Linked DNA regions of Notamacropus eugenii. The protein of the gene in region 2 purifies or fractionates together with the protein of the main gene of each other region. This does not show direct contact. Links are inferred from orthologs where the notes say so. Each region holds a gene or a part of one and is shown on either strand. Other genes may lie near its edges. The genes, in order: LAMP1, TMEM192, ACP2 and LAMP2.

Region 1 (7,490 bases), about 41 Mb from region 2:
TTCCTCCTCTGAACCATAATGAATCCCTGATTTTGGTGCAGGTAGGTATTTCTTCCCAACAATTTTTTCCCATCTCTCTAGGAGCCCATCCTCCTAGCATCTACCCAATTGGCCCTAGGCCTTTCTGTAAGCTTAATATTTTTTCCAAGGGTTGCTGGATCTTTTTGCCTCAAGATATAAACCATCTCTCCACCACTCGCTCCTTTTCCTGTCAAGTTTGTCCTCCATGATAAACTAAGAGATTGTTGAGAAACTAACAGGCAGGAAAGCGAGTCTCTTCCCCAGTCTGTGAAGCAACAGGAAGAGAAGTGAGCCACTAAGTTCATCTCGTACTTTAATTTTTAAATGCTGACCTAGCTGAAATCACCTATTTCATTTCTGCGTGGCTTGCTCAAAACCACACACTGCAAGTAAGTAGAATATCCAAAATTACATAACTGCTTGCTCCGTAAATGTATTTGAGGCAGAAAACATCGTAAGAGAAACGTGCTTCCATAAATTTGTTGTTAATGGTAGATGTCCTCCTAACCTTCACAATACATATAGAGTGTATACATTAAATGAAATCTACATTGACACAATTCTGAAAATTACATGCACTTCAGGTCTAAATCCTAAAACTATTTCTAGCAGAAAAACTGATTCAAGTCTTCAGGCCTTTCAATTTAAATTTAAATAAAAATGTACCCTCTCAACAAGACCTAGTCCATTAGATTTCTCTTAGGGAGAAAAAAAAACAATCATTTATAACAAAATTATTTGAATTGGCTAGTCTTCCAACTGAAAGTAAACGCATGCATAAGCTATCTAAGTACTCAGTAAAATGCAACGCGCCCAGTGGATGCATGAAAGGTAAAGATGGAAAAACTATAATAAACCAATGAAGGTATTATAAACTTGTGGTAGATTATGACTTCTCTGTCATTTAAGGAAGGGTCAATTAGTTCTTAGTCCACTCAAAAAATTGTCTTAAGATTAGAAATGAAAATAGTCAGCAGAGGAACAGAATTTTTCCCCCTTTAATGTAGTCTAAATGAGATTTGGTTTTTTTTTGCTGGGCTCCATTTCATTTAAATCAAATTAATTTTATTCTAGAAATTAATTTTAAACATAAGGTGTGAAAATAAGACTTAGCCTTTGCACAAAACAAGCAGGTATGTCATTTTGGGACACACTTAACAGGAAAAGGAGTGAGTGGTTGAGAGATGGATTATATCTTGAGGGGAAAGTAACAGTTCAGCTCCCATGATCAACGTAGCATCTTATGGTCTTTACTTGGAAATAAATACAATATCTTCCATTTTGGGGGTGGGATGAATAAGACTTGCTGATCTCCACTCCATTTCCAAGAGGCTGCCCGGGTTCTCGGTATAACCCAAGGTCTCCCTTCTGATTTCAGCCCAACAATAAGCTACCACGGCCCGGCTCTCCCCCCATGTTCGCGTAGGCTGGTCTGTTCGCCGGCACGCACCCCGCACGCACTCCGCACCCCGCACGGCGGGCGCCGCGCTGCTGACTGCTCCAGCACCTCCCCGCAGCTCCTTCAGGCGGGTCACATGCCAGGCTTTCCAGGTCATCTCTGGGGCCCAGCACAGGCAGAGCCAAGTTCTTTCGCTCCACAGGTGGCCGGCACGGGCGGACGGGCACGCGCATCCCCACACCGAACACATCCCAACCCCGGCTTTGCTCTACCCAAGTGGGGGCGGGGAGCGCGGGGACCCCCCCGGGACGAGCCCACGGGCCTCTCCATCACCCCGCCCCTAACAAGGAGCGCCCGGCCCCACACCCCCCAGGCCCGGGTCTCATGACCGCCAGGCCGCCGCGGGGCCACACCGGGCTCCCAGTCTGCGTTCTCTCCCGGGAGGCCCGAAATCTCGAGATTCCCAAACCCACATTCATTCGGCCCGCGCCGAATTCTCAGAAGCGAAGGGGGTGCGACACCCAAGGAGCGGCTCCAAGGCGCCTCTCCCCGGGGAGTCGCCCGAGTCGCACCCGGGCTGGGGCCGCCTCCCGGCGAGCCCGGCGAGCGCGCAGCGTCCCAGCGCCAGGACGCGCAGGCGGGGCCCGCGGGTCTCGTCCCCTCCGGGCCGGCGGACGAGGCCGGCGTGGCCGGCTGTTTTAAAGCCCCGGTGACCCGCCGAGAGGAGAAACAGGAGGCGAGGACTTTAAAAAGTTTCGCGTCAGTTTAAACCCTCGTCTTCCAACGTTCTTCGTGGCTGGCCGGCAGAGGCCGGACCCGAGGCCCCGCTCCGTGGGGCCTGCGGGCCTGGCGTGGATCGCCACTACTGGGGGGATTCGGGGGTCACCGAATACCCGTCTGCGCCGAAAGGCCGTCTCTAGGGGGCCCCTCCACCCCCCAACGCCCCGATCCGCCGCAGCTCCCGCCGGCCGGAGCCAGCCGAGGCCGACGCGGGCCCGGAGGGCCGGGGAGAGAGCCAGGCCCAGCGCAGGGGCCTCCGTCTGCACATCCCACCCCCCACCCCAGGCCTGCGCCGGTCCTCTCTCTCGCCGAGGCCCCGGCCCCTCCCCGCCGCCTCCATCTTACCGAGAAGCAGCAGGAGCAGCCGCTGGGGCGTCCGGGCGCCACCGGGGCCAGCCATGGGTGCGGGGAGGAGGGACGGACGGACGGACGGACGACCTCGGGGGAGGGGGCGCGCCGCGCTCGGGGCACGAGCCGGGCGGCGGTTGGCAGTGACGACGGGGGCGGCGGCGAGGGGCACCCCGACTTGCTAACCGCCGAGGAGGGGCGCGCTGGCGGGAGGGTGGAAGGGAAGGAAGTGGCGGATGGAGGAAGAGACGAGAGAGAAAGGGGATTAAGGGTAGAGCGGGGCAAGTGACGTCCCAGCCAGCGAGAGAGGAAGCCCCTGCCGCTCCAGCAACCGCAGCTCAAGGAGACCCCGGCGGGCAGCTTGGCCGATCATGTGACCGCCGCAGCGAACCCGCCCCCCATCCCCCACGCTGTCACGTGAGCCCCTGCGGAGAAGGCGGGGGAGGTGGTGGAGAACTCTCGCGAGATGACGTGTTCTGTGGGGTCGGGCGAGACCGGGCTAGTTTGCGCTGTAAAGCTCGAGGCCCCTGGAGCGTCTTCGTTGTTCTCGCCCAGAGCTTCCCGCTTTATCTAGCGCTCTCGCTCCTTTCCCCGGGGTGGGGGTGGGGGTGAGGAAGGGCTGGGCTGAACTCCCGGGGTGCGGGAGTGACTCCTGCTGGCGCGGTAGGTAGGGCAGGCGCCCAGTCCCGCGAGCCCCCCGGAGGACGGCCTCCAGCTTGACCTTCCGGGGGTCGCGGCCTGGTCCCTGGAGCCGACACCGAGCGCAGGGAGGGACGTGACGGGCAGAGGCAGACTGGGAAAACTCGGGGAAAGTTGGGCAGGAAAAAGGAAAGGCCGGAGAAAGGGACAGGCCTGCGGGGAGGCGCGGAATGGGGAAGTGGAAACTCTGACGGAGCGGCTCGGCTTTTCCGAGGAGGAGGCCTGGCCCCGGTGATCTCCGGTCCGATCGCCGCCCTGACCGCGGGCTCTTAGGGATGGGAGAGGGGACCGGGCCGCCGGCACGTAATGGGGGCTTTAGGGGGAACTGTTTACTGCGTGGTGCATCAGCCCCGGGGTGGGGGAGGGTGAGAAGTGAAAACAAGCACGGATTAAGCGCCTGCTGTGTGTTAGGCTCTGTCTTATTCGCCGGGGAGTACTAAAAAATGGGGGGAAGAAGAGGCCCCTGGTCTGTGGCGCCCCGGTGCCGGCGGAGGACACGTTGTGCGAAACGGCGGCGTGCCTTCGAGGTGGAAGCCGTGGAAGTGATGGAAGTGATCCCAGAGAGCAGGCCAGGACGGGAGGGGAAGGCCTCGGAGAAAGATGGCGGAGGTGTGAAACCGTGGGTGGTCCTCGTGGAGAGCCTGCAAGGATGAGGTTGGGAGGGGCTTGGGATGTCAAAGAGAACATCCTGCAGGATTCAGGACCCCCTGCGGGGCCTGGGCTACAACTAGAGAAACAGTGCCTACCTGGAGGAGCCCAAGATCATGTAGGGAGGAGCTTGGATGAACTGTCAAGGAAAGAAGGGATTCAGAGTCAGAGGTGAGGAGGCAGACTAGGGAGGGCCTGTGTGCAGAGGCCGAGAGATGAAGCCTCATGCCCCACGGTGGCTGGTGTGGCTAAAGTGAAGTGTCTGTAAGACGTGACTGATAGCTAACAAGGAAGGAAGTGTGGTTTGGAGCTAGCTTTTGAAGGTTTTAAAAAGACAAACAGGAGCTTATATTTGATCCCAGAGGGTACAGGGTGCCACTGAAGTTTATTGGGAGAGGGAGTGGTGGTCAGGCCTGGGCCTCAGAAAAATCACTTTGGCAGCTGCCTAGAGGAGGTGGAGACTTGAGACAGGAACATCAGTTAGGAGGCTTTTTTCATAGCCCATACTGGAGGTGGTAAACTGCTGGACTAGGGTATGATCCTTCAATGGGGAAAAAAGGGGACAAGTTCAAGAGAAGCAGTGATAGAACATAAGCTCCCTGAGGGCAGGAGATGTTATATTTTTGTCTTTGGCTCCCCAAAACTTAACACAGTACCTGGCACATAGTAGGTACTTAATAAATGGATGTCCAAAACAGAATTCATTATCTTTCTTCAAAATCCTTCTGCCCTTCAGGCTCCAAACCTAGGAGTGAGTCATCCTCATCTCACTGTTTCTCAGCCCCCATACCCCAGCTGTGGCCAAAGCCTGTCGATTTCACCCTGGCAACATCTCTGCGGTAATCTGTCTTCTGACATTGCCACCATGCCAGTGCAGGCTCTTTGGGTCTGCCTGTCGGAAGTCTCTTCCTTGCTCCCAATCCATCATTAAACCTGTAAAGAGATTTTCCTAAAGTGCAGGTTTGACCATGTCACACATACTACCTCATACCCCACCCTCCCCAATAAACTGCAATGACTTCCTATCACTACTCTTGTTGTTACTGGACTCTTTATGACCCTGTGGAACATATCTTCCATGGGATTTTCTAGGCAAAGATCAGTGGTTACCTTTTCCTTCCACAGTGGATTAAGGCAAACAAAAGTTAAGTGACTTGTCAAGTTACTTGCATAGGTAGTAAGTGAAAGAAGTCAGATTAGAGCTCAGGTCTTTTCTAAGCCCACCACTTTAACCTTTGAACCATCCCTATCACTACCAGGATCAAATACAAAATCCTTTAATTGGTATTCAAAAATCTTTACAATCTAACCTTCTCCTATCTTTCCAGTCTTTTTACGCCTTACTCTCCGTCACATGCTACACGATCCAGTAACACTGGCTTCTTTACTCTTGATGACTCTGAGATTGCAAACTTGGGTCACCAGAAAGATCGTGGTCTCCACAGTATTTAGTCATTGCCTACTGTGTTTAGTCTTGTGGTAGGAGAGAGCTGCAGGGAGAGAGCATGGAGTAGTGGATAGAGAACTGGTTTCAAAGCCAGGAAGACGTGGGTTCAAGTCCCACCTCCGAGTGTGTGACCCTTCATGGGTCACTTGATCCTTCACTGTCTCTAGCATAAATTGTAAACCATAAATTATCCAAAGAAGCTCCTGGTCTAGTCCAAAAAAATAATAATTCCCTTGTGAAGAACAGGAGTAATGCCAACATTAAAATAACAATATAGCACTGTGCTATTTTGAGGTGCAAATAACTGGAGAGCCGTAATGCTGTACTAAGTACTAGGAATACAAATTCAAAAGGCAGACAGCCTCTGACCTCATGGAGCTTACATGTCCCAAACTGAACTCATTAATCTCCCCCTCCCCACCTCCGCCCCATTCTTCTCCTTTTCCTAACATCTCTATTTACCACCATCAGTATGTTGTGGTTTTGGTTTCATGATGTGTTGTGGTGGAATCAAAGAATTCAGAGTCAGACCACGTCTAATCCAGGTATAGGCATTTATTTGAGATTGACACCTTTCATGAAGCAGACTCAGTTTCAAGAGAAACCAGCAACTTCAGAGAAAGCAAGATGGATTTTTATAGGGTAAAGATGCAATTACATAACAGAAATTATGAATATTCGAAAGGCAGGAGGGTTTTGTTAAGAGATTAGATAATAGGGGAGGGGTCCCAACCACCGTGGAATGTGTATGTGATTACCCACAATGCATACAGAAAGATCCATTTGGAATATATGTACATATATATGATAATGATATTGTAATAAACCTCTCTACGTCATAAATTCACTCAAGGTAAGTTCTTTACTACTACTGTCCAGGTACCTACTTAGGGAAAGTTCCTTCTATTGTCTTGGGGTCCGTATCCTGCTTGGGCATCTTGGTTGGTGCTGTTTTCTGATTAGCCGAATGTTATGATCCTGTCTGAGACTAGACGGATGGGGATGTGGTTGAGTGCACAGACACATCTGCTGTTTTCTGTGGGGAATATGAAGAATGGGTCTGGGGGCAGTGGCTAGATAGAGGAAGTGGCTGGGAACCCATCCCATGAACACACATATGCAGTTTCTGTGAGAAATAACGAGTTCATGGACACACCTGTTGTTCTAGTGAGCAGTGAGGCATATATGAAGGAGCTAGGATATTGAGTTTGTCAGGGGTGGTGAGTAGCTAGGTAGGTACAGTGGGCCTGCTGTTCAGTGGGGCCTTTAAAGAAATGAAAATATTGAGGCTGAGGGCAGCTTTATTAGGATCCCATCAATCCCAGTCACCAGGACTCAAAGTCTATAGGTCACTACTCCCCAACCCTCCCCCTTCACCACCCTGCTTGTAGTCATTATAAAGGCTTGTCGATTTTGCTTAGACTGTTGCAATACTCTTCTGATTGGTCTTCTGTCATTCACAGCCCTTCATCACCTCCTCCACCTCACCCTTTCCAATGTCCTTACACCTTGCACCACCACATCCAAATGTGTTCTGGGATCCAGTGAAACTAGCCTGTTTGGTACCTCAAATAAGACACTCATCTCCCAAATCCTGGCATTTTATTGGAATGCTTTCCCTCTTCATCTCTACTTCGTGGCTTACCTGGCTTCTTTCAAGCTGAAGTTAAAGTCCCCCCTTCCGCAGGAAGACTGTCCTGATGTCTTTTATTTCCAGTGCTTGATTATCTCCAGCGTAGCCTGTCCATAACTTTGCTTGTACGTAGTTGCTCGCATGTTGTCCCCCTCATTAGACTGAGCTTCCTTTGTATCCCTAGTTTGTTTCCCAACTATGCTGTAGTTGACACCGAATAAACGTTTGCTGAGTCACCCTAAAACCCCCCAGACTGCCGTATGTCCCTATCTCATGTTTATGAAGTTGATTTTTTAATGCCTGGCCTAAACACTTATCTTGTCTGTGTTGTTTATCCTATTAGAATGTTAATTTATAGAGGTCAAGCACTACCTCCCTTCACATTTATTTGTTCAATGGGTGTTTACTCTGTATCACATACTATGCTAGGTGGTAAGGATATTAAGGCAAAAATATCCTAAGTGCCTATTCTCAAGGAGCTTCCATTCTTTGGGGGGAAACAGCACATAACTCAT
Region 2 (7,594 bases):
GTCTCTACTGGAATCCTTGGTGAACTAAACACTTTTTCTCCCGTTAAACCCCAAAGATAAAAAAAGTCCCCACAGACTTACATGTATTAGCAAGAGGAGATTTGCTATGATGACAGTAGGAAGGGCATGGAATCTAGGTCTGAAATGAATATGCAAGGGATGCTGAGGCAGAAGCTGAGCTTCTAGAAGAGGGTCATCTTCTAAACTTTGTGTAAGATCCAATGAACCCTAAAGGGAGGGAAATAAAAAATGAGTACATTCTTAGATGATATTCACAAAACTAGTTATATAACATGAAGTTTGAAAAGGTGTTTTATACATTAAGAGGCTTACTCCATCCTAAGAATATTTTTCCTGAAAAATCCAACAGTTTCAACTGGAAGGAAAAGGAATTTTCTCATCCTCAAAAGGCTTACCATCGAACTGGCAGTCAAAGAATAAACAAATGAAAAAGTACAATAATGTAAGAGTAATAATGTAAGAGAAGTACTGTGGTTTAACAGAGCCATGGGCTCAGGAAAATCTGGGTTCAAGTCTTACATGTATTAGGTATATAACCATGGGAAAGTTCTTTAACTTCTCAGGGTGCCAGGCAACTTTCTAAGATTAAGCTACAGATGATGAACTTATTTGCATCTGTGTGAGAAGGTTCCACACTAGAAGCTCCTAGTGGTGATGACATCACAAGTTTAGATATCTCTACAAAATGGGAGGGAGGGATAGAATTTGGAACTCAAAACTTTAATTTACAAAATGTTAAAAATTGTTTGTACTATAACTGGGGGGTGGGGAATTTTTTTTTAAATGTTAAATGATAAATACAATTTTTCAAGTATGCATTTGCAATTTTTTTTTAAGCCTTACCACTCTAAATAGGAAGAGAAGACTGAACAGAGGACAAGGTCTATAATCAGAAAGACCAGGGCTCAAATTTCACCTCTAATACTTATTAGTGTGAACAAGTCACTTACAAAACTTCAGGTCCTCAATTTCCACATTTATAAAAGAGATAATGACTGAAAATACTTATCTCAAATACTTACCCTGTGAGGCACAAATGAGATAATGGATGTGAAAGGCTTCAGCTTAGAGCTCTATTACTGGTATACAGTAATTGTTTAATAAATGTTTGTTGACTAACTGATCAACTGATCATACACAATATCCCCAAAAGTCTTACTACAGTTTTAAAGTTTACTCGTTTTATTGTACTAAAACTTTGGGGTCATCTCGTTTAATGCAACTCTGCCTCCGAGTTTTTTAGGCATCTGGTTGGAACTCTGCTAGGTAAGGTTAATACGTTTTCGTTCTCCTCACTTTACCCCCCAATATTATTTCTTTTTTAAAAAAGTTTATTAATCCTCCGTTAAAAAATATCATTTCCAGACAATTACACAAAAATAGGAGATAGTATACATTCTTACAGCATTAGTGAATATGCACTGAGATAAAAACATTACCTGGGACAAGAGGGTATTCATCTCACTCACCTATCAAGGAATAAACAAAGAGTAAAATGTCTCGCTCCTCATTCAGGAAGTATGTGTAGCCTATAGTCCTGGGCACAGTGAAAATGGGTAAAGGTGCAAAGATCCAGGGGGCATGTTGCCAAGCAATGAGTCAGAGTGACACATGTGCCTACCCCAAGGGCAGCAAGATTCATGTAAAGCTTTCCCAGATGGTGCCCAGAGAGGAACTGGAAAACAGTGTTTGTGTTCCTTTTCCAGGAGCAATCAGTGTTCTAAAGAAAGAGAAGGCCAACCAAGAGACAGATGTGAAAAGGGTAATGATCCCCAGGAAATGTTGGTGGGTTTTTTTGGGGGGGAGAAGGGACAGAGGATTTTGAGGAACAGAAAGAAGCAGTTTTACTTTGGCTACGCTCCTTGGGCCCGAACCCATTGGTTCACAAAACCAGAAGAAATAAAAGACTCTACAATTCAAAGCGGATAACGGAGCCCAGCTCCTTCTCCTCCAGCTTTCATGTCGCCCCAAGGAGAATGAATTGCAGTGTGCGTTCCTCATTGTACAGAAGAGCAACCTGCAGCCTAGAAGAGGGTAAGAAATTTGGCATTGCGTCATAGGAAATGCCAAGGGGGAGTGGCTTTCAGAAAACCCGGGGAGATCTCTATGCAGTGAGGCAAAGCGGGCAGAACCAGGAGAACGCTGTAAGACTCGGCTATACTGATCTAAACGGTGCTCCACGACCATTGCAAACAAGTCGGGATCCAACCTCCAGAAAGGGAGCTTGGAGCGCAGAATGAAACGCCGCTTCTTGCTCCCCTCCCCCAAGGCTAACAGGACTTCACGTGGGTAACCAAGATCACGTGGCCTGCCTTCTCACAGGGCGGGGCGGGGTAACCTCCGTTTATTTGGAAAGCTGCGCTTCGCGCGGTGGCCTCAGCTCCAGCTCCCCAGCCCGGGCTCCGGGGACCCAAACCCGCTTCGAGCCGGCAGGTCGAGCGCGCAGTCACGTGAAAAAGCCGAGTTCCGGGACCGGAAGCGAGGAGCTGGGGGTGGTGTGGGGTCGGCCCTACGGCCCCGCCCCGTCCCCAGATGGGTCCTCCCCGGTCCCCCCGGCGGCGGCGCCTCTCTCCCGGAGCTGCCTCTCCACCGTGCCAGGTGGTCGCCGCCCCGAGCCCCCTTCCGCGAGACACGCGCGGGCTGGAGCGCTCGAGGGGGTGGGGAGGGGGGAGGAAGGCAGCTTTGGGGCTCCAGGCCCCGCCCCGCAACGCGGGGAACCCCTAGCCGCGCCCGCCCCGCGCGCACTCACGTCCTCCAGCCTGGTCCCCGCAGCCATTTCCCGGGCTCCCGAAGGCGAAGCCCCCGCCGCCGGGGCTCGCGGTCTGTACCTGCGCGTCCACGCGGCTGCTCCGGGAAGGTGGGGGAAGGTGGGGGAAGGTGGGGTTAGGCGGGGAGAGGCGGGGGCCAGGAACCCTCAGTACCCCGCCCGCCTCCCCGAGCAGGCTCCCCTGCTTTCGGGCCGGCCCGCGCCGCCTCAGGCCCCGCCTCCGTGGGCGGGGCCGAGCTCCTCCTCCAAGGCCCTCATTGGCGGAGCCCGAGAGGCTTCTCCCCGACGCTGCGGGCCTGCGGAGGGAGGGGGGGGACGTTCGCAGCAGAGCTGCTGCGGGTCTCCCTTCTCTCCTATCTGGACCGTGACTTTGGCACCCCGCGTTCTCCTTTTCAAGGTTCTGGACTCAGACAGGCTGCGGCACGGTAGGCTGCATTCCCAGGCTCTCGGCGGCGCGATGTCCGCGTCTCTCGGAGCTGTTGTCTGGGCGTGATTTCCGGCGTCCGCCGGCCCTGGCTGCGCGTGCCCCCTAGGAGGACTCGAGAGTGCTGGGTAGAGAGCTGAGCCGCAGAGGGCAGCTCTGGCCCTTTCAGCTTACAGGTGGGGAAACCGAGGCCCCGAGAGTCCAGCGACCCGCCCGAGGGAGACCTGCGGCTGGAACCGAGCTTCCATTGCCCCTGACGCAGTGTCTCAGGCCTCGGTGTTCTCATCGGGAAAAGGAAGGGTTTGGCCTCGAGATCAGTGGTTAACGTGCAGTGCCGCTAATTTATTTTTAATGTTTTGGTTAACTAGTTCAGTATCCCTTTGTTTGTAAGTATTTCAAAGCATTACAGTATTCAGAAAAGGGGCGTGTAGGCCTCACCAGGCCGCCGGGGGGCCCACGACACAAAAGGAGTGGAGAGCCCCAGTACCTCCCTTCTAGCAGACGGAGTACCCTTAGCTCTGCAAACTTGGACGAGTTCTGAAGTCACCCTCTGAACTGCAGTTTTATCACCTGTTAAAAACGGACATTTGTAATAACCATCCCGCTAATCTCTGAGCCTAAGCTTCATCGCCTGTTAAATAAGGACAATACTAAGTAACCATGTAGCCAAAATCATAGAATTCCGGTCGGGAATTGGAAAGGACCTCAGGCCATCCGGTTCAGTTATTGGGGAAATGTGTTGGACTTCAGAATCAGGAAAAACTAAATTCTAATTTTGCTTGGATACTACCCATGTGACCCTGGGAAAGTCACCTAACAGGTCTTAACCTCATCTTCCTCATCTGAAAAATGGGGGTGATAGTAACAGTATTATTGTGAGAATCAAATGAGATAATATACTTAAAGGCCTATTTAAATGTTAGCTGTTTTTTAAGGCACTTTATAAGTGTGAGTTAATCCATTTCTAATAGCCTGTGATTCTGAAATACATCTTAAAAAAAAAAGCGTAGCATCTCCATCATTATGGTCATTAAAAGAGTTGTTGATGATTATTTAAAGCCCAAATCCCTGCGGGGGCTGGGGGGTGGGGGTGGGGGGGGTGAGGTGGTGGCTGGACCCATGTTACAGGACAAAGCAATTAATAACCTGAATGCAGGGCCTGTCCCGAACAACCCAACAGTAAATTAATGGTTTATAAGTGCTTTATGTACGTCTCATGTAGGTATTCTTCTTCTTCTCACTTTCCTAATGAAGACAAGTCAGAGAAGATGGTGCTCCAGTCACACTGATGGTAAATAGCCACTACAGCCACTACTGTTTCCAAGAGACCACACTTTGTAGCCTGGGTGGAGTGTATACACACACGTTCATGGAGTGAAGAAGAACTCACCAATAACAGAGTATTTAAGGAACTCCTCACAAGACTCCCTAGTTAAATGCTTCCTTCTTCTATGGAATGAAGAATGATGGGCTTGGATTGAGAAATATTTTGAATGAATGAGTCTAAGTCCTTGCCAAAGGAGGTAAAGTGATTGTTTGTCCTTGGGGCAATCCAGCTTCTTCATAAGAAAGTTGGGTGAGTTTTGTAGATTATATGTGGTTTTCAGAGCAACATCCCTTTCCTTATTTTTTTGGGATGATCTGTCTCCTCAGGTCTGCTTTATTTAGATTCCCTAGTTATCCTCTACTTGCTTGAGTATATTGAAAGATCCTTCATGGGACCCTGTTGCTACCATCTTGGCTCCAGTTTCCCTGACTGCAACTTCCCTTCCAAACAACACTTATCTGTTAAAAAAATTTTTTTTTTCAAATGGACGAAAATCAATTTTCTCTCTTCCCTGTTGAAAAAAAAACATTTTGGAAAACAGTTTGGAATTATGTAAATAAAGTAACTAAAATATTCTTACCTTTTGATCCAGAGATTATATACCAAGTAGGCCATTGATAAGTTCAAATATATACCAAAATATTTATAGAAGCACTTTTTGGAGAGCAAAGAAATGGAATCAAAGTAGATGCCCATTGATATCTAAACCAATTGTGGTACATGAATGTAATGGAATATATTCTAAGAAATCTACATGGATTTATGCAGAGGAAAGAGCTGAGAAATGACTACAACAGTAAATGGAAAGACCAACCACACAAAAGATCAAAAAGTGAGTCGCAAAATTGGAATAAGCATGGCTTAAAAGAAGACATGTAAGAAGATACTCTCACTCTTCTGTAGAAGTAAGAGGCCCACATGTTGTACATTGTACACATTTCAGACTTTTGGGGATATGTTAAAAGTTATGATGATTTTTTTTTCTTTAAAAATATTATATTGGATGACTTTCTGGGAGGAGCAGCAGGAAGGGTAGTGGGGAAAATTATGATGATAATAAATATAAATATTTATCATCATATTGTTACATAACTAATGATAGATAACAAAAATTCATTAAAAATAAAACCCTTTTAATAAATACATATAGCCAAAGAAAACAAATTCCTACATTTGCCACATATAGAAATTGTATATTTCATTTTACAGTGGATTCCATTGTCTTTTCTTCCAGAGGTGTGGCATTCTTATTTATCAATCCTTCAGAATTGTGGTTGGTTTGCTTGATCAGAGTTCTCAGACCTTTCAAAATTGCTCATCTTTACCATCATTAAACAACCCGAGTCTCAGACAAGTAGACTACCCCTGATGCTTTCATAGTCTCACCACCCACTCAGTTTTTGACAGCCAAGGGGCTTCTGCTTCCCACCAACAGATCTGTCTTAGGTTGCCTGCCACAGGTCTCTTTGTAATCAAATTCAAAGGTCTTAATTTTCTTCCTTCCTGTTTTAAAACTTCCTTAATCCCTTATCTTCTGCCACCATTCCATCTTCTAGTTCCCTTATTTCTTCTTACTTTTCCTCTAATTCATCTGGTATCTCTCCCCTCCCCCAGCAGTCACCTGTGAATTTCCCCCAAGATTTATCCTCTTTGTTCTAAAAGAAGAAAACAAACATTTATATAGTGCCCATGGTGTGCCAGGCATTGTGCTAAGCACTTTTTTACAAATACTGTCTTATTTGATTCTCACTACAATCCTTCCAGGTAGTTGCTATTATTGTTCCTGTTTTATAGTTGAGGAAACTGAGGCAAGTAGGTTAAGTGATTTGCCTAGGATCACACAGTTAGTAAGCATGACCTACAATTTCTTGAAAAGTGTCGTAAATTTTAATTGCTTTTTTGGTTAACAAAAATCTACTTTCTCCTACTTCTTCCGTCCCTCACATTGGGGAAAAAAAGAAAAGAAAAACAAAATCCTCCTAACAAATATTTATATAGTTGAGCAAAACAAATTGCTTCATTATCCATAACCAAAAAGTATGTCTTATTCTGTCCCCTGAGTCCTGAGATAGGAGATCTTGAAACTCTCAGAGTGTCTACCAGGACCCAGAGCATCTAGAATGGCTTCAAAGAGCCTATTGCCTTGTAGCTGACAATATAACAAATCACACAAAGAAAAACAGATGAAGAAAGGGCATCTTTTTTCACTCTTCAAATATTATTGATATATTTTGCTTCTTAATATCATATTTGCTTCCCAATATGGCCTTTCCCTGTTTCCCTGCTTGGGGATCCATCCCTTTATAGTTAAGAATAACAAAAAAAATAGTTCCTCAAAATTAACTGACATCAGTCAAGTCAACAATGCATGCAATATACTACATCCATAGTACTTCAAGGGAGGGAGGTGCATACCCATTTATATTTCAGAGCTAACTCTGGCCAACATGCAACTTAATTGTTTCAGTTGCTTTTAGATGGTAGCATATTTAATCATAAGTGCTCTGTAATTAATGGTTGGACATTGTTGTTGATTTATTGATTGATCTGTCCTTTTACTTCATTTTACTTCACCAAATTTTTTTTAAAATTTTATTTTTAGTTTTCAGCATTCACTTCTATACGATTTTGAATTTTAAATTTTCTTCTTCTGCCTCTGCTCCCCCCTTTCCAAGACAGTATGCAATCTGATAGAGGATATATCTGTACAATCATATTAAACATATTTCCATATTAGTCATGTGGTAAAGAAGAATTAGAACTAAGGGGAAAAGTCACAAGCAAGAATAAACCAAAAAAAGAAAAGAGGAAACAGTATGTATGCTTCAGTCTGCATTCAGACTCCATATTTCTTTCTGTAGGTGTTGTTAGAGGTGAGCCCATTTAACAAAACCCCAACAGTGAGAAACATGCTCACCTTAAATAAAGAACAATAACTGTTGTGAAATCAGGAAAGCCTTTATTAATCTTTACAAATGGACAGGTAGCCTCTCCAGTAAAGTTACTGGAAGACCACAACACGTGCAGGAAGATGGGGCTTCTTATACTGTTTTCT
Region 3 (7,089 bases), about 160 Mb from region 2:
AACCCAACTAACTCGCTCTTCAGAGATGAAGAAATGGATGGGAAAGATGAGCAGCTCTGTGAAGATGGGACTTACATATGACAAGTGCTGGCAGATGAGTCTGGGCACAGAAGCCAGAGACACCAGGGGAGCTTTGGAGGGATTCTGAGGAGAGTGGTGTGCCTTCCTTGTCACTCACCTCCCTGAAGCCGGGCCTTCTCTGTTGGCTGGTACATCCCAAAAAGGAACCGGAAACTGAGATCCTTGAGCTGCCTAAGGCGCTGCATAGTCTGGGGCGAGGCCCAGGTCGGTAAGGGCAGGTCATGAGTTTGCTGTATACCATATGGGCAGGTTAATGCAAGGTGGGTTAGAAGGAGCCCAGGGATCCCAAATGGGCAAATGGCTATGTGAGTACATGCGCTCATGTGGGAGGGGAGGGGAAAGAGGAGAGAGATGAGACCCGGGGACCAGGGTGGCAGCCAGTATGTCTGGGGATTGGGTGGTGGGGCAGACAAGAAGAGGAAGCTTCCATACAGACAGTCTGACTCAGCAATATGGAGTCACATAAGAACTGCTGACAGTTAGGAAACCATTTCCCATTTGGAGGTTCTCTTTCAGCCCTGGGAGGGGAAGTTGTGTCCGCTCCCCTAATATGCCTCAGTAGGTGGTGGGAGGCCTCTTCCCTTGCGTAGGGCCTGTGATTAATGACCCAGGCCCCTGGAGGAGGAACCCTGGGGTCTGTGGTCTGCACACCTCACAGAAAAGAGTGTCATAGATGTTCCAGGCTGTCTCTAGTGTCAGGTCTGTGACACCTGTCTCATTAGCGACCATCTCCAGAAATTGCTGTGAAGGTAAACCAGAGGTGGTCATGGTCACCCTGTTTCCTGTGGGCTGATGGCATCATGACTTCCTGCCACCTTCAACCCCACTTACAGCATTCTTAGCGGTCTCATTTTGGTATTCAGGGGTCTGGCGAGTCTCATTCTGTAGCTGCTCAAACCGAGGACAAGGGCCCAGTGGGAACTTCAGCAGCTGTAGCCAGAGGGGAGCAAAGCAGGGCAAGGATCAGTGACTGGTGAAATGAGGAGGAGGGAGTGTCCTTATAGGTGAAGGGACAGTCAGCCTCACCTTATCCTGGGCCTCAGGGACTGTATGGACAGGGATAGGCTGCCATGTGATATTTGGATTAAAAGACTGTGCCCCCTCAACAGGGAAGAGTCCAGCCAGGTTGGCCTCAGCACTCATAAGGGTGCGGTCAAAGTCTGTGCTCCGAATGTAAACCTGCCAAGGAAAAGTGAGCAAACCTCTGTCAGAGTGGCTGGGAAAGGACTTTGGCCCTTGGGACAGCAGACCTCCCAGCAGCTGTAGGCACTCCTCCGGCCTTGGACTACTGTGATAAGAGGAGCAGACCGGAAAAAATAGAATTTGGGAGAGTGGAGCAACACTGGAGAACCTGGGGTAGAAGCTGTCGTTAGGGTACGGTCCCTCGACCAGCTGCACTCACAACTCAGATTTCCTTAGGGCTTGTGGTTTACCTAGCCCTTGGCTCACAACCACCAGCTGTGGCCAGGGAGGCAGGGGGAATCCCCCAAGGCACCTGAGAGCAGATCAAGTGGCTCTGATTAACCTTCCCAGTGCAGAGGTTTCCTTCTCAGAGGTGGTGGTGCTTGGCAACTTTCCTTCCTGGTCTGGAGCCACATGGATGGAAATGCTCCCTCCCCTCAAGGACGGAATGGAGCAGTGAGCCTAGAGAGCTCTCTCCTCCTTGTACTGGAAAAGCTCCCCCAGGTGGTGCCAAGCAGAGAGAGGCAGAAGCCCTCCCAGAACCTCCCTGTCTGGATCCCTAGGCTCACCTCTTCCCGGTGGTAGGAGGCATTGAGGAAGCCCTGGTAGCGCCGCCGTAAAGCCTGGCCCAGCTCCCAGTGCTGGAGCATCCCCTCCTGCAGGCAGACCCAAGGGCTGGTCAAGCCGGGGAACCTTAGACTCTGCTGGTCTCTAATTCTGCCCAAGGAAGGACTGGTACTGAGTGGATCAGCACCCCTAGTCAGTCGGTCCAGCCAGATGGGTGGGGGGAGCTGGATAAGGGTGCCCCTGATCTAAGCTGGTCAGGAGGAGGGGTCGCAGATCCTCCAGCTCTGCTCTGCAGGCAGCTGGACCTAGCACCTAGGGTCCTAGCCATTTCCTTATTTTTGGCGTCCACGACATGCCCGGGGCACTTTGGGGGAACCTAGAGACCCCTCTGCGGAACCTTTCTGAGCGCATAGAACACAATACACGGGTTCCCACGGAAATCAATGTCATTTAACGAACCACTCGTGAGAGTCCCAGGGTCGGGGCGCCGGGACAGACCTTGGTCAGCTGGCCAAAGCCCTGGGGCCACTCTCCCTCCTGATAGGGGTCCTTGGGGTAGGCCTTGACGGGGGACCTGTCTCCGTGTCGGTACAGCTGAGGAAGAAGGAGAACCGCGCCGTAGCCCCTCACTCCCGGCGCCCCTTTACCCGAACCCCCCCGCCCTCCCCGCAGAGCAAGGTCCTGGGGTGGCCCCCGTCACGGGGGGGCGGGGGGTGACGCCCCGAAAGCCTCCTCCCTCGCTCCGGCCCGGCTCCCCCCCCGGCCTCCAATATCGATCCTTACCCGGAGACCCCCTGCGCCCAGAGCGAGCCCCTTGCTTACGCAGAGGTCCGCCCGGAACGCCGGAGCCTCCTCCCCGGCCCCCCACTCTTCCCCAGCCCAAGACACCCCCGACTCCGACCTGACGATCCCTAGCCTCGAAGCCCCCCTCCCACCCCGAGCCCACAGCCCCTCGACCCCGCGGAGACCCCGGCTCTGCGCCCCCCGACTTCAGCACCAAAATCACGAAGCGGAGACTCCGGGCCTGAGCGGGCGGCCTCGGCAGCAGCAGCAGCAGGAGGCCCAGGCCTCTGGCCAGGAGCAGCGGCGGCGGAGATCCCCAGCCGCGGCTGCCGGACTGTCCACCCGCCATCGCCGCCGCCGCCTACTGAGGGGCCCGCGAGCCCGGAACCTTAGCCGGGGAGTCGCCGAAGCGGCCCGGACGCGCGGCCCGGAGCTCCCACAGGAAGCGCCCGCGCAGCCATCTTTGTTGAGGGAGAAGGAAGCCCGGGTCAGAGGAAGGAGGAGGGAAATTGACCAGCGGGCCGCGGGCCTGGGGGGCGGGGTGGAGGGGCGTAGGAAAGGGCGCGAGGCCTCCGGCTGGAGGAGGGGCCGCCGAGGACAGCGCCCCCTGGGGGCGGGGCGGAGCGGAAGGAGCTAGGTCGATTCCCGGTTCCAATCCCGCCCCCGTGCCCCTGCGCGATGGATTAGCTGCATGGGCCCCCCACTCCCCCTCCCCCGCCGAGCCCAGCCCCGTGCCTTAATGCCCTCGTTTGTTAAATAAGGGCTGGGCCTGGAAGAGGGCGTGGTGGCGAAGCGCTTCGAGCCCTTCCAGGCCAGTTGTCCCCTGGAGGGCGAGAGCCGCCTTTTCTACCACGTGGCCCGGGGGCCTGGGTACCTGGGGCCTGGAGGCCTGGAGCCCGGCCTGGGGCCTGGAGCCCCGCCTGAGGCCTGGGTACCTGGGGCCTGGGAGCCTGGGGCCTGGAGCCCCGCCTGAGGCCTGGGTACCTGGGGCCTGGAGCCCCGCCTGGGGGCTGGGTACTTGGGGCCTGGAGCCCCGCCTGAGGCCTGGGTACCTGGGGCCTGGGGCCTGGAGCCCCGCCTGAGGCCTGGGGCCTGGGTACCTGGGGCCTGGAGGCCTGGAGCCCGGCCTGGAGCCTGGAGCCCCGCCTGAGGCCTGGGTACCTGGGGCCTGAGGCCTGGAGCCCGGCCTGGGGCCTGGGTACTTGGGGCCTGGAGCCCCGCCTGAGGGCCTGGGTACCTGGGGCCTGGGAGCCTGGGGCCTGGAGCCCGGCCTGGGGCCTGGGTACCTGGGGCCTGGAGCCCTGCCTGGGGGCCTGGGTACTTGGGGCCTGGAGCCCCGCCTGAGGCCTGGGTACCTGGGGCCTGGGGCCTGGAGCCCCGCCTGAGGCCTGGGGCCTGGGTACCTGGGGCCTGGAGGCCTGGAGCCCGGCCTGGAGCCTGGAGCCCCGCCTGAGGCCTGGGTACCTGGGGCCTGAGGCCTGGAGCCCGGCCTGGGGCCTGGGTACTTGGGGCCTGGAGCCCCGCCTGAGGGCCTGGGTACCTGGGGCCTGGGAGCCTGGGGCCTGGAGCCCGGCCTGGGGCCTGGGTACCTGGGGCCTGGAGCCCTGCCTGGGGGCCTGGGTACTTGGGGCCTGGAGCCCCGCCTGAGGGCCTGGGTACCTGGGGCCTGGGGCCTGGAGCCCCGCCTGAGGCCTGGGGCCTGGGTACCTGGGGCCTGGAGGCCTGGAGCCCGGCCTGGGGCCTGGAGCCCCGCCTGAGGCCTGGGTACCTGGGGCCTGAGGCCTGGAGCCCGGCCTGGGGCCTGGGTACCTGGGGCCTGGAGCCCCGCCTGGGGGCCTGGGTACCTGGGGCCTGGAGCCCCGCCTGGGGGCCTGGGTACCTGGGGCCTGGAGCCCCGCCTGGGGGCCTGGGTACCTGGGGCCTGGGGCTCCTGGCACAGTGCCCTGGGAAGTGCCCAGCCTGGCTGGTGACTGGCCCCAGCACAGATTTCTCAGTACCCCCTCACTGCAAACAGGGCCCCATCTTCCAGTGGTCAGTGACTCTGCCACTGAGCCCCGAGAGTAAGCCCTTGAGGTACCCCACCCGTCACGAAACAGAAGAGAGGGGGCACCCCGCACCCTTGGATTCTAGCATCATCGTCCCTGATTTGTTTCTTGGGGGGCAGCGGGTCTCTAGGGGAGGCCCAGATGCACAGAGAGGCGGTGGTAAGATGAACTGAGGCCTGAACTGGTTCTCAACCCTCCCTCAGATCCTTTGTAGTTGGAGGCCCTGGGGAAATCACAAACTTTCTGAACCTCAGTGGCCTCATCTGCAAAGTAAAGATGAGAGCTGTCCCCCAGGCTTAGTCAGGGGCTCTGATGCGATGTTAGGATATTTCTTTCTGAATTTTGAAGGACTCAGGTATTGGTGTCAAAGAGAAAAAGCGCCTCCCCAGGTGTAGGGGCCCCTGTAGGTTGACAGGACTGTGCCACGGGGCCAGGGTTTGCAGGCTGGGACCTGGGGCTCGGCGGAGGCTCCCCTTACTAGCCAGGGCCACCTCCGGGGAGGAATCAGTGCCAGAATCTGGTACTTCTGCTGAGGCGTTGCCTAAGGGTGTTGCCTTTCACCCAGCAGCTAGGCCCAGTGGAAGGAGCTCCATCTCAGCTCTTCTACTTATTAGCTGTGGACAAATCACTTCCCCACTTCATCTGTAAAATGGGGATGGTGACCTCTGAAGTCTCTTCCACCTTTAACTCTCTCCCTCCTATAGCCCTGGGAAGTTTGTGAATTCCTTGGAGCAGACTCCCCAGAAGAGAGATTTTTGTCCCGTGATGTTTGCCTAGCAGAGCTGGTTCTGGTCTCGGTCCTGGGGTGGAAGTTGTTTGGGGTTTACACGATGGGACAATGTTTGGCATATTCTGTAGCAGTGTGGACAGGATCAAGCCTGCTGAGTTCAACAGTACTTGTGAGGAAAAGGCCTGGGGGCCCAGAATGGCCAAAGAGAGATGTTTGATGAGGTTTCAAACCTGGAGCACAAGGGTTTTCAACCTGAGGTCCTTGAACTTTTTTTTCCAACTGTTTTGATAACTGCATATAATTGGCTTCTTCTGTAATCCAATGTACTTTATTTTACACTTTTAAAAAGGTTTCACTTAGACTACCGAAAGGGTGTATGGCACAAACCAGGTTAAGATCCCCCCAAATCTAGCAGAAAAACCTTGCCAAAAGATTCCAATATGGAGAAAGGGAGGAAAAGAGATACTAGAAGAATGTAGCCCCATCCTCCCAAATGGAAGTTCACTGAGGGCAGGGACTGATTCATTTTAGTCTTTGTTCCTCCAGCACTCAGAATAGTGCATGGCACATGGGCCTTGTTGACTTGGCCCCCAAGAAGACATACAAGGCAGCCCCTTCCCCTCTTCTGGTGGGGTTGGGAGATCCTAGGCGTGGACCGTGGTAGAGAAAGTTAGGCCTCCTCCCTCTTTCTTATTCTTTGTGCTGGAGGATGGAAGACTGTGCTCTGGAAGAGAGAGATTGGTGGATGGGATGAAAACCCAGAGGTATCAATGACGTTTTGTCATTTTTAACAAATCTGCTGAATTGGATTGGACCAGCTCTGGGCGTTTCAGGCAGAATCAGAAAGCCTGAGGAAAGGAGGAGGCCTCAGATGGGGCCAGGAGAGAGGGTGGGGGATGGAGGGTTTAGAGCAAAGTCTATCTCTCTGTGCGAAGCACATTTAGGTTTCTTTCTCTTCTAGAGCTGCTGGGGTGTGGTGGGAACAGGGGACCCAGGACTGGGAAGTTTGGGTTGATGATTCAGGGGAGCAAGAGGCTGGGGTGTCCCCTCCAGATGGGAGCCCTGGTCACAAGGCTGAACGGAAGACTGTGGGCAGGACCTTGGGGAGGGAAGGGGGTCACAAGGGCTTCTGGTCATGTGAAAACTCCTCTGGGGGCAAATTTGGTCACATAGGCCAGCCTTCTCTCTGGGCTGTCTCTCCCTCTGTTCTCATCACCATCCCTGCCCTTCCTCCTCCCTTCCCTTTCTGTTTTTCCTTAAGCCTCATTTGCCCCTTTTTCCTTCCCAAACCGCCCACCACTCTTCAAATCTCCGCTTTCTCTAAGTCAGAATTTACCTCTTCCCAGCACCCTCTTCTTTCTGTCCCTCTGCACCAGTGTCCAGTCCCCCTGCCCAATCATGTTAAAGTGTAGGACCCATGGGAACTGAATTCACAGCAAAACAGGAAGGAGGCAGTAAGCAGAGGGGTGGAGGCAGGGGTGACTGGCCGGGAGTAACCTCCGGCTTCTCTCTCCCACAGCTGTCCTGGAGCATCCTGCCTGGCTCCTCCATCAGCCTGTCCTCACTAGTCACCCCGTGGGGCTGGGTTCAAATCCTGCCTTCTGATGTATGAGCCAGTTCCAGGCCTCAGGCACGTGGTCCGTAAAAAGAGGAAGTGAGCATGCACACATAGGCCAACACTGTATTTGTAGAAATATAGAT
Region 4 (7,788 bases), on a different chromosome or scaffold from region 2:
TCTAAGGTCAATTTCCCACCTCCATACTCCAGGACAGCAAGCAAACTGTAACCCATACAACTATTCCAACATTGTCCTTTTTATTTTCTAATTAGAAAAAAAAGAGGAGTAGGCAAAGACGAAGAAACAGTAAAGGGAGAGGAGCTTTTAAAAACATTTAAAAATCAAATTACAATATGAATTTCTCAAAAGATATCTTTCAGAAATATAAGTCTTTCATAGTTTCTAGAGCAGGGATGGGGAACCTGCAGCCTCGAGGCTACATGTGGCTCTCTAGGTCCCATCTCTGCTCTAGAGACTATAGAAAAACTAGAAATGGAGGCAGAAGAAGATCCTCTGTAGCAAATCTCTACTGGGTTATTCTGATTTACTCCATGGTACCAACTCCTCAAAGGCAACTTTGCTGCTAACAATTGTTCTTTTGCCCCAAAGCCTAGGATTCTTGCCCCAAGCCGACGTTAACTTTGATATATGATGAGAAATCATAAAGGATCTTTGACTCTACTGACATGTGATTCCCCATCTGATTAATCTTCAATCAAAAGAGAGAAAGTTTCTCCATGAGAGAATTAACTAGTGCCCTTTCACTCACTGTCAGGACTGTACCCACATCCCAGGGACTGACACATTTGTTAGGTGTTTTATGATTGAAGCTTGAATAGCAGTATGATTTTAAAAATGCAGAGTTTAAAAGTCTTTTTTTTTTTTCAATCAAATATTTGTTCATTCTGAGAAACAGCAAAAGAAAGAAACCCACACCATGCGAAGAGTCCTCCATTTGGTCAACCTCCAGGGCAATCTACTTCAAGACAGCTTTGACTCCCTCAGATAGCATACCATTTCATATCAGTACAATCTTTAATCATTTGAATATAAGATTATGAAAGGAAGGTTTTGCCCATGTCAGAGGCGCCAGGAACCAAGGTCTAGAAGTATAATCTATTGCAATATCGCAAAGTGGATCCACAGGAAGCAGGGTGGGAGGGAAGAAAGGGCAGGATAGCTTTATTATAAGGAATTTATGGGGTGGGGGTGGGGGACCCAGCACAAATAAAAGAATGCTTATATATGAAGGCACAATCTTGGCAAAAGTTTAGTTATACTGGGATGATTTATGTTGCTTTGTCTCACTTATTGAAGTTAAAATGATTCATCAACAAAAAAAAAAGCTAATAAAAAATTTTTAAACCTTACAAACACATACAAGATATGAGGATTAAATGATTACTTGACTAAATAATAAACAAGTCATTTCAAATGCCTATGTTCCAAAAGGAATTCAAGCAAATCATTGGAAAAGAAATTCACTTTATGAAGACCATAAAGTACTCATTCATGTCCAAAGTCTTTCTAGAAAATTCATCATGATAATTCTTAGCTATTGTCATACCTAAGAATTGATATGAGGACCTACATATCAGTGCCTACATATTCATTAATCCCTCTAACTGCATATTCCTAAGGAAACATCTATGACCACCCCAGTATTCAACTAGATGGGAGTATATGTCTCCCATCCAAATTGGCTTTACAGAGATCTTTGTCAGTGAGCATTTTTGTGAAGTTCTGAATTCAAAGTCCTTGGAACTGCTCATCTAAAACAGTTTAAATTTCATAGAACTTGGATGCTCCATCCTAAGGCTTACAGGAGAGTTTAGAAAGTGAGGGGAAAGAAGAGATTGGGACTTTTCTGGGGGCAAATGAAGAGAGGGCTAAACAGGTTGAACAACAAGATTAATTCTTCAAAAAAAAGATTAATTCTTCTACCAGTAAAATACATATACAAAATTTATTATGGCAACTTTGTTTTTTTTCCCCTCCAACCCTCATTTAAAAACCAACTTACACCCTCCTCTATATGAGGCTGTCTGTGCTAAGTTAGTTATGGAATTCTGGAATGCTTTCCTCATAAAGTATCCCTGGGAGATAATAATAGCATGAGGGGGGGGGAGGGTGAAAAGAGACAGATAGACTGAGAACCCAGGTAGCAGATAGGGTCCCTAAATTCAACTCAAGTTAGGGGAAACCACCTCAACTGAGTTCAAGGTGGAGTGTTTCCTTTCCTAGCCACTGAAGAATTCACTTCACACTAAAGTCTCCTCAGTTTCAGGATCTGGGTTCAAATTGGTCCTAGTGTTGTGACCACCATACCATTTTTCCACCAGGTCCAAGTCCCCCTTGAATTAACATCTCACTCATACTTTGTTCACTCCTTGGCCCCCTAACCCCTCCTCCCCCATTCTACCTACATCATTCTTCAGTCCCCTGATACCTTCCATTCCGATTTTGGTCATTCCTCTGCTTCCCCCCAGACACACACATCAAGGTTAGTCCAAAGCCCCCAGCCTCATCTCTCTCCTAGGTCACCACTCAATTGTACACCTCTCTCCCTCCCCCCTCCCTTCCATTCCCATCTAGGTCACTCCTATGATCGCGTCCCCCCCTTCACCCTGGTCACTCTTTAAGCCACCCAGTAGCCCCCTATCCCATGAGGTCACTCCTTACCCACCCTCACCACCGAGGTTACTCTTTCACGACAGCCCCTCCCCTCTCACCATAGTTACTCGGCCCCCCCCCCAACCCACCCCCATTCTTATTCACTCTTCAGTAGCCGCCCTCCCTCATCCCACAAGCTCCTTTTCTCCCCTGTTCCAAAGGGCCAGGTCGCTCCCCCCACCCCGGGTTCCCTCTGGTCCCGGTCCCGGCCCCAGCCCCCCTCCCCAAGCACTATCCTCGCTGTCGAGCAACCGCGCCTCGGCCTCGGACCCAGAGCCAGGGTAAGCGCTGGGCCCGGTCCCCACAAACTCCTAGCCAGCCGCCACTCACCCAGCAAGAGGCAAAGCAAAGCAAAGGCCGAACCCCGGTTGAGAGGGGAGAGGGGAAGGCGGCAGGTGCGCGACATGGTCCCGGCCCCGGGGAGGCGGCAGCAGCAACCAAACTCCCCGCAGCGCAGCGTCGTATGGTCGAAAGCCAGGAGGCAGCCGGGCTATAAGACAGAGATGCTCGACCCCGGCTCTTATGACGAAGTAGGGCGAGGCTCTACCGTCGACCAATCAGCAGGCAGGAGAACAGTGGTGGGTGGGGCTAAGGCGGGGCTTAGACTACGGGGCGGGGCTTAGGCTGTGGGTGGGCTGAGCTAGGGAGGGAGGGGAGGCCCTGAGGGGGGGGGGGGCAGGGAGACCGTGGAGAGCGCCCTCTAGCGTCTAGACAGCAGACCGGCAGTTGGACTGCAGGTCCGCTGCGCCAGTGTAAATGGCGGGGGAGAGGCAGAGGGGCGGGGGGCGGCAGGAAGAGGGAGGGCCGGAAAGAAAGACTGGAGCCAGGAGGGGGAATGATCGAAGGATGGATTAATTTACCACCACCTCGCCTTTGTGTCCCGCACCTAGTCTAGTGCCTGGTACCTGGTAGCCGCTTAATAAATGTGTATTGTGAATGATTAACTGTGGGAGGCAAGAGGAAGAGGGGTGCCTTAGTGTAGTGAGTTCCACAACCCAGCTCTAGTGGAAATCTTTGATGGGTCTTAGGTCTCCGTTTCCTCTCTTGCTCCAGAGTCTAATTAGACTAGCGCTTACCTTCAAATGGCCTCCTCCCACCAGCTCCATCTATGCCTCTTTAGGAGTGTAGTGGAAAAAGCAGTGAACTTTAGAGGCAGAAAACCTGGGTTCAAATTTGAGCTCTTCTAGTTGCTAGCTGTTAACCCTTGGGCCAATCACCTCCCCTCCCTGGGCCTCAGTTTCCTCAGCTGTCAAATGAAGAGGTTGGACCATATGACCTCTGAGGTCCCTTCAGCTCTAGACCTAGGGTCCCAGGTGTGACCTTGGACCAATCACTTCAACTCTCCAGGCCTCAGTTACTCATCATCTGTAAAGGATGGGGCCAGACTGATGAGCTCCAAGGAGGCTTGCAGCTCTAGATCAAACGAGACAATATTTGTAAAGCACTCAGCACAGTGCCTGGCACAAAGTAGGCACTTCATAAGGGCTTCTTCCCATCCTCCTCCCTTTACTGTTGGATAGGTTTGGCCAGTTCCCACATTTTTTATTTTATTTTTTTGATTGGTGGGTTGGTAGATTTTTTCTTTATATCATAGTCATTTTCTTACATATTTCTCCTCCCCACCCTGCGTTGAGCCCTCCCTTGCAACAAAGAAGAGCACTTAAACAAAACTCACAAAGCAACCACAAACTTGTACAATACCCTCTCTGGAGGAGAGAAGTGTCTTTCATCTTCTGTTGCCTTGAATCAAAATTATTCGTTGCAATTGTTTATATCAAAGATACAGAGATAGAAAGACCTCAGAGAGCATCTAGTCCAGTCTCCTGATGAGGAAACTGAGGCCAGGAGAAAAGTGACTTACCTCAGCTTACACAAATAGTTAAGTATCCGAGGTGAGATTTGAACCCAGGTTCTCTGACACAAAAGCCAGTGCTCTCTATTCCGTAGCCCAGATGTGCTCATCGAGGAACACTTTTTTCCTCTCCTCATATGCAATGTCTATATGATTGTGTAGTAGAGTTATCTGGGTTCATATTTGAGCATCACTAATGAACTGTGAACCCACAGGAAAAGAATTGTGTCATTTATCTCTATATCTCCTTCAGAGCCCAGTAGCATGCCCTATACTTGATACAAACTCAATAAATGTTTGTTGACTGGGGGAATCGATCAATAAAATCCACTGGTAGGCACTTAATATGTGGCAAAGCAGGTCTTCTTTCAGGTCTACTGGATTTTGTGCTGTCTATTAGTGTGCGCATGTTCCATGCGCCGATGGTGAGTGGAATCATCTTTGCAGATGTTTTCATACATTTTGTACATTTTTTTGTGTTTTGACTGCATAGTGGGATTCCCTGCCTGCCACGGTAATCAGGCGAGGGTTGGATAAGCAGATAATGTTTAAGGCACCTTTTGTAGCCACTTCTTCACACCAGGAGGTGAGCAGTGTGATCCTTAAAAGGCTGCTCAGACATCCAGGGAGCTGCCGAGTTCCATGGCTGCTTCCAGTGAGAAACAACCCTGTGGCCTGGGCCATCTGTGTGCAGGGTTGTGATTACAGCTCCCAGTGTATCCACATCTGCTGCTTTATCACTTGCCTGTCGCCACAGGACTTTGAAGCATAATAGTGAAATGGTATGGGTGATGTCTTTTGATTAGTGCGTAAATTGGATTTAAGTGAGGCAGAATTGCACGGTAATCAGCCTCACTCTCTCCAGTGTCAAGATGACTGGCCATGGCTCAGGATGCAGTGGACGACCTTGTTGTCTTCAGCGTCTAACCAAGCTCTAAGGGCTCCACATCACCTGCTTCATCTGCCTTCATGGCCGTTGGAACAAACTGTTCTCATTCACCCACTCCACCAGAGGGAGTATTCACACGCTTGGGGTAGACACCCCACCTAACTCACTAATGGGTTTGAGAACCCTTAATTACCCCCAACCTGGTTTGACCCATCTGCCAAAACAGTTTACCTGTGTGTGGCTGCTGCGCGTGCTGCAGCTTCTTGGAGCCACAGGTGAGAGTTAGGTGGAACAGGTGAACACCAAAGGTGGAAAGAGCCCCAGAAAGGGTTCGGCAGCCATCACACCAAGGTACTGGTCCTCCCTGAACACACCCTACATCCCACTGGAGAATATAACAAAAGGGAAAATGCAGTTCCTGCTCTCTGAAAGCTCGAAGTCTAATGGGGGGGAGAATGTGCAAACAGCTGAGTACAAACAAGCTACAGATAGGATTAATCAGAGGTAATGTTCAGGTAGTACCTAGATGGCACTACAGTGGATGGGGAACTGGAGTCAACAAGACCCTAAGTTCAAATCCTGCCCCAGGCACTTACTAGCTGAGATACCATGGGCAAGTCATTAACCTCTGTCTGCCTTAGTTTCCTCAACTGTAAAATGGGGATAATAATAGTACTTACCTCCTAGGGTTGTTATGAAGATCAAAAGAGATAAGGATTATGAAGTACTTAGTACCATGCCTGACATGTTATATAACATATATAAAATGTTAATTATTATTAATGATTACTATTATGATCTCAGAAGAATATAGGATTCTTATAGAAGGTAAGATTTTAGCTGGGACTTGAGGAGCTGAGATGAGGAGGGAGAATGTTTTAGGCATGAAGGACAATCAGAGAGAATGTACAGAATCCAGAAATTGAATGTCATATACAAGATACAACAAGGAGGCCGATGCCACTGTTCGTAGGGATAAGTAAAATTAAGAAGACTGGGAAGGGCGGAGGTGGGGGGATGGGAGACGTAGGAACAGGTTGTGAAGAGCTTTGTAAAATAAACAGAGGATTTTATATTTGGACCTGGAAGTTATAAGGAATCACTGGAGTTTACTGAATGGGGGGAGGTGAAACCTCTACTTTAAATTAAATTGTCAGCTGAGATGGACTTGAAGCTGGGAGACCAATATATGCTATTGAAGTAGTCCAAGTGTGAGGTGTTGTTTTAAGTTGTTGTTAAGTAATTTTTCAGCCATGTCCTTCTTTTCATGACCCCATGTGGGGTTTTCTTGGCAGAGATACTGGTGAGGTTTGTCATTTCCTTCTCCAGCTCATTTTACAGATGAGGAAATTGAGGTAAACAGAGTGAAGTGACTTACCCAAGGTCACACAGCTAGTAAGTGTTTGAAGTCAGATTTGAACTCAGGAAGTTGAGCAGTCCTGACTAGAGGCCCAGCCCTCTATCCACTGCAGCACCACCTAGCAGAGTATTAATTTACTATTAATTCTAGCTGAGGAGTGGCTAGAACAACAAAACTGGAATAGCTCTTAGAAACCATTGGTCCCCAACCCTCACTTTATGAAAGAGGCAACTGAGGCCCAGAATGGAAAAAATTGTACCCAACCTAAGTGCCATTTAGGCAGTTCAATAAATGACTAGAGCACGGAGTGTAGAATCAGAAAGAGATGAGTTCAAATTCTATTGCAGATAATTGCTAGCTATATAATCCTGGGCAAGTCACTGTATTCCAGATTCCTCAGCAGTGAAAGGAGGAGGCTAGACTCAGTCAATTCATATAAATCTCCCCATGTTTCTCTTGAGTTCTTCATATCTGTCATTTCTTACTGTACAACAATATTCTATTACATTCAAATGCCATTGGTTTTTCAAGCATGCCCCAATCATTGGGCTCTCATATTTTATTTCTAGTCCACAAGAAGTGCTGCTGTTATTGTTTTGTTAGATATTGGGCCTTTGTTTCTGTCTGACTACTTTGGAGTATGAGCCAGTAGTGAGATCTGAGAATCAAAGGGTATGGGCCAGGATGGGGAACCTGCAGCCTCTAGGCTACATGTGGCCTTCTAGGTCCTCAGCCTTTTGACTGAGTCCAAGTTTGACAGAACAAATCCAAACAGGGATTTGTTCTGCGAAATTTGGATTCAAAGGGCCACCCTTAAGGACCTAGAAGGCCGCATGTGGCCTCAAGGCCACAGATTCCTCACCCCAGAATGGGAATTTTTAGTAACTTTCCTGAAATAATTTCAAATTGAAATCCAAGTTCACAGCTGCACCAAGAATGTCTTGATGGCTCTATCTTCCCACAGTCCCTCCAATGTTGACTGTTCCCATTGTCTGACATCTTTGTCAGTCTTCCCAGGCAAGGCAAAACCTCAGAGTTGATGGAATATGTTTTTGTGTGATCATTTAGAATTTATAATTCTTTTTTGGAAATCCCTTTATTTGATTATTTGACCAGTATACCAAATACATATATATACATGACACGGTGGGTGAGAAATTAGATAAATATAATGTATGAAACTGACGTGTA

What was found.
Region 1: the proteins of TMEM192 (region 2) and LAMP1 purify together in Homo sapiens (affinity purification with mass spectrometry; 3 studies listed by BioGRID and IntAct, with this or other methods). This does not show direct contact. The link is inferred for Notamacropus eugenii from reciprocal best matches to the Homo sapiens genes TMEM192 and LAMP1.
Region 3: the proteins of TMEM192 (region 2) and ACP2 purify together in Homo sapiens (affinity purification with mass spectrometry; 3 studies listed by BioGRID and IntAct, with this or other methods). This does not show direct contact. The link is inferred for Notamacropus eugenii from reciprocal best matches to the Homo sapiens genes TMEM192 and ACP2.
Region 4: the proteins of TMEM192 (region 2) and LAMP2 purify together in Homo sapiens (affinity purification with western blotting; 5 studies listed by BioGRID and IntAct, with this or other methods). This does not show direct contact. The link is inferred for Notamacropus eugenii from reciprocal best matches to the Homo sapiens genes TMEM192 and LAMP2.

The regions. Positions count from the first base shown.
Region 1 is NC_092877.1:207,901,118-207,908,607, forward strand, and holds the start of LAMP1 (lysosome-associated membrane glycoprotein 1), read right to left. Parts: upstream 3,001-7,490; 5' UTR 2,601-3,000; coding exon 2,546-2,600; intron 1-2,545. UniProt on the Homo sapiens protein: Lysosomal membrane glycoprotein which plays an important role in lysosome biogenesis, lysosomal pH regulation, autophagy and cholesterol homeostasis.
Region 2 is NC_092877.1:167,078,657-167,086,250, forward strand, and holds the start of TMEM192 (transmembrane protein 192), read right to left. Parts: upstream 3,005-7,594; 5' UTR 2,798-3,004; coding exon 2,771-2,797; intron 1,497-2,770; exon of another isoform or gene 1,482-1,496; coding exon of another isoform or gene 1,461-1,481; intron 229-1,460; coding exon 82-228; intron 1-81.
Region 3 is NC_092877.1:3,721,593-3,728,681, reverse strand, and holds the start of ACP2 (lysosomal acid phosphatase), read right to left. Parts: upstream 3,016-7,089; 5' UTR 2,963-3,015; coding exon 2,828-2,962; intron 2,425-2,827; coding exon 2,290-2,424; intron 1,920-2,289; coding exon 1,833-1,919; intron 1,261-1,832; coding exon 1,108-1,260; intron 1,012-1,107; coding exon 913-1,011; intron 823-912; coding exon 733-822; intron 312-732; coding exon 179-311; intron 1-178.
Region 4 is NC_092879.1:43,863,963-43,871,750, forward strand, and holds the start of LAMP2 (lysosome-associated membrane glycoprotein 2), read right to left. Parts: upstream 3,012-7,788; 5' UTR 2,903-3,011; coding exon 2,827-2,902; intron 1-2,826. UniProt on the Homo sapiens protein: Lysosomal membrane glycoprotein which plays an important role in lysosome biogenesis, lysosomal pH regulation and autophagy.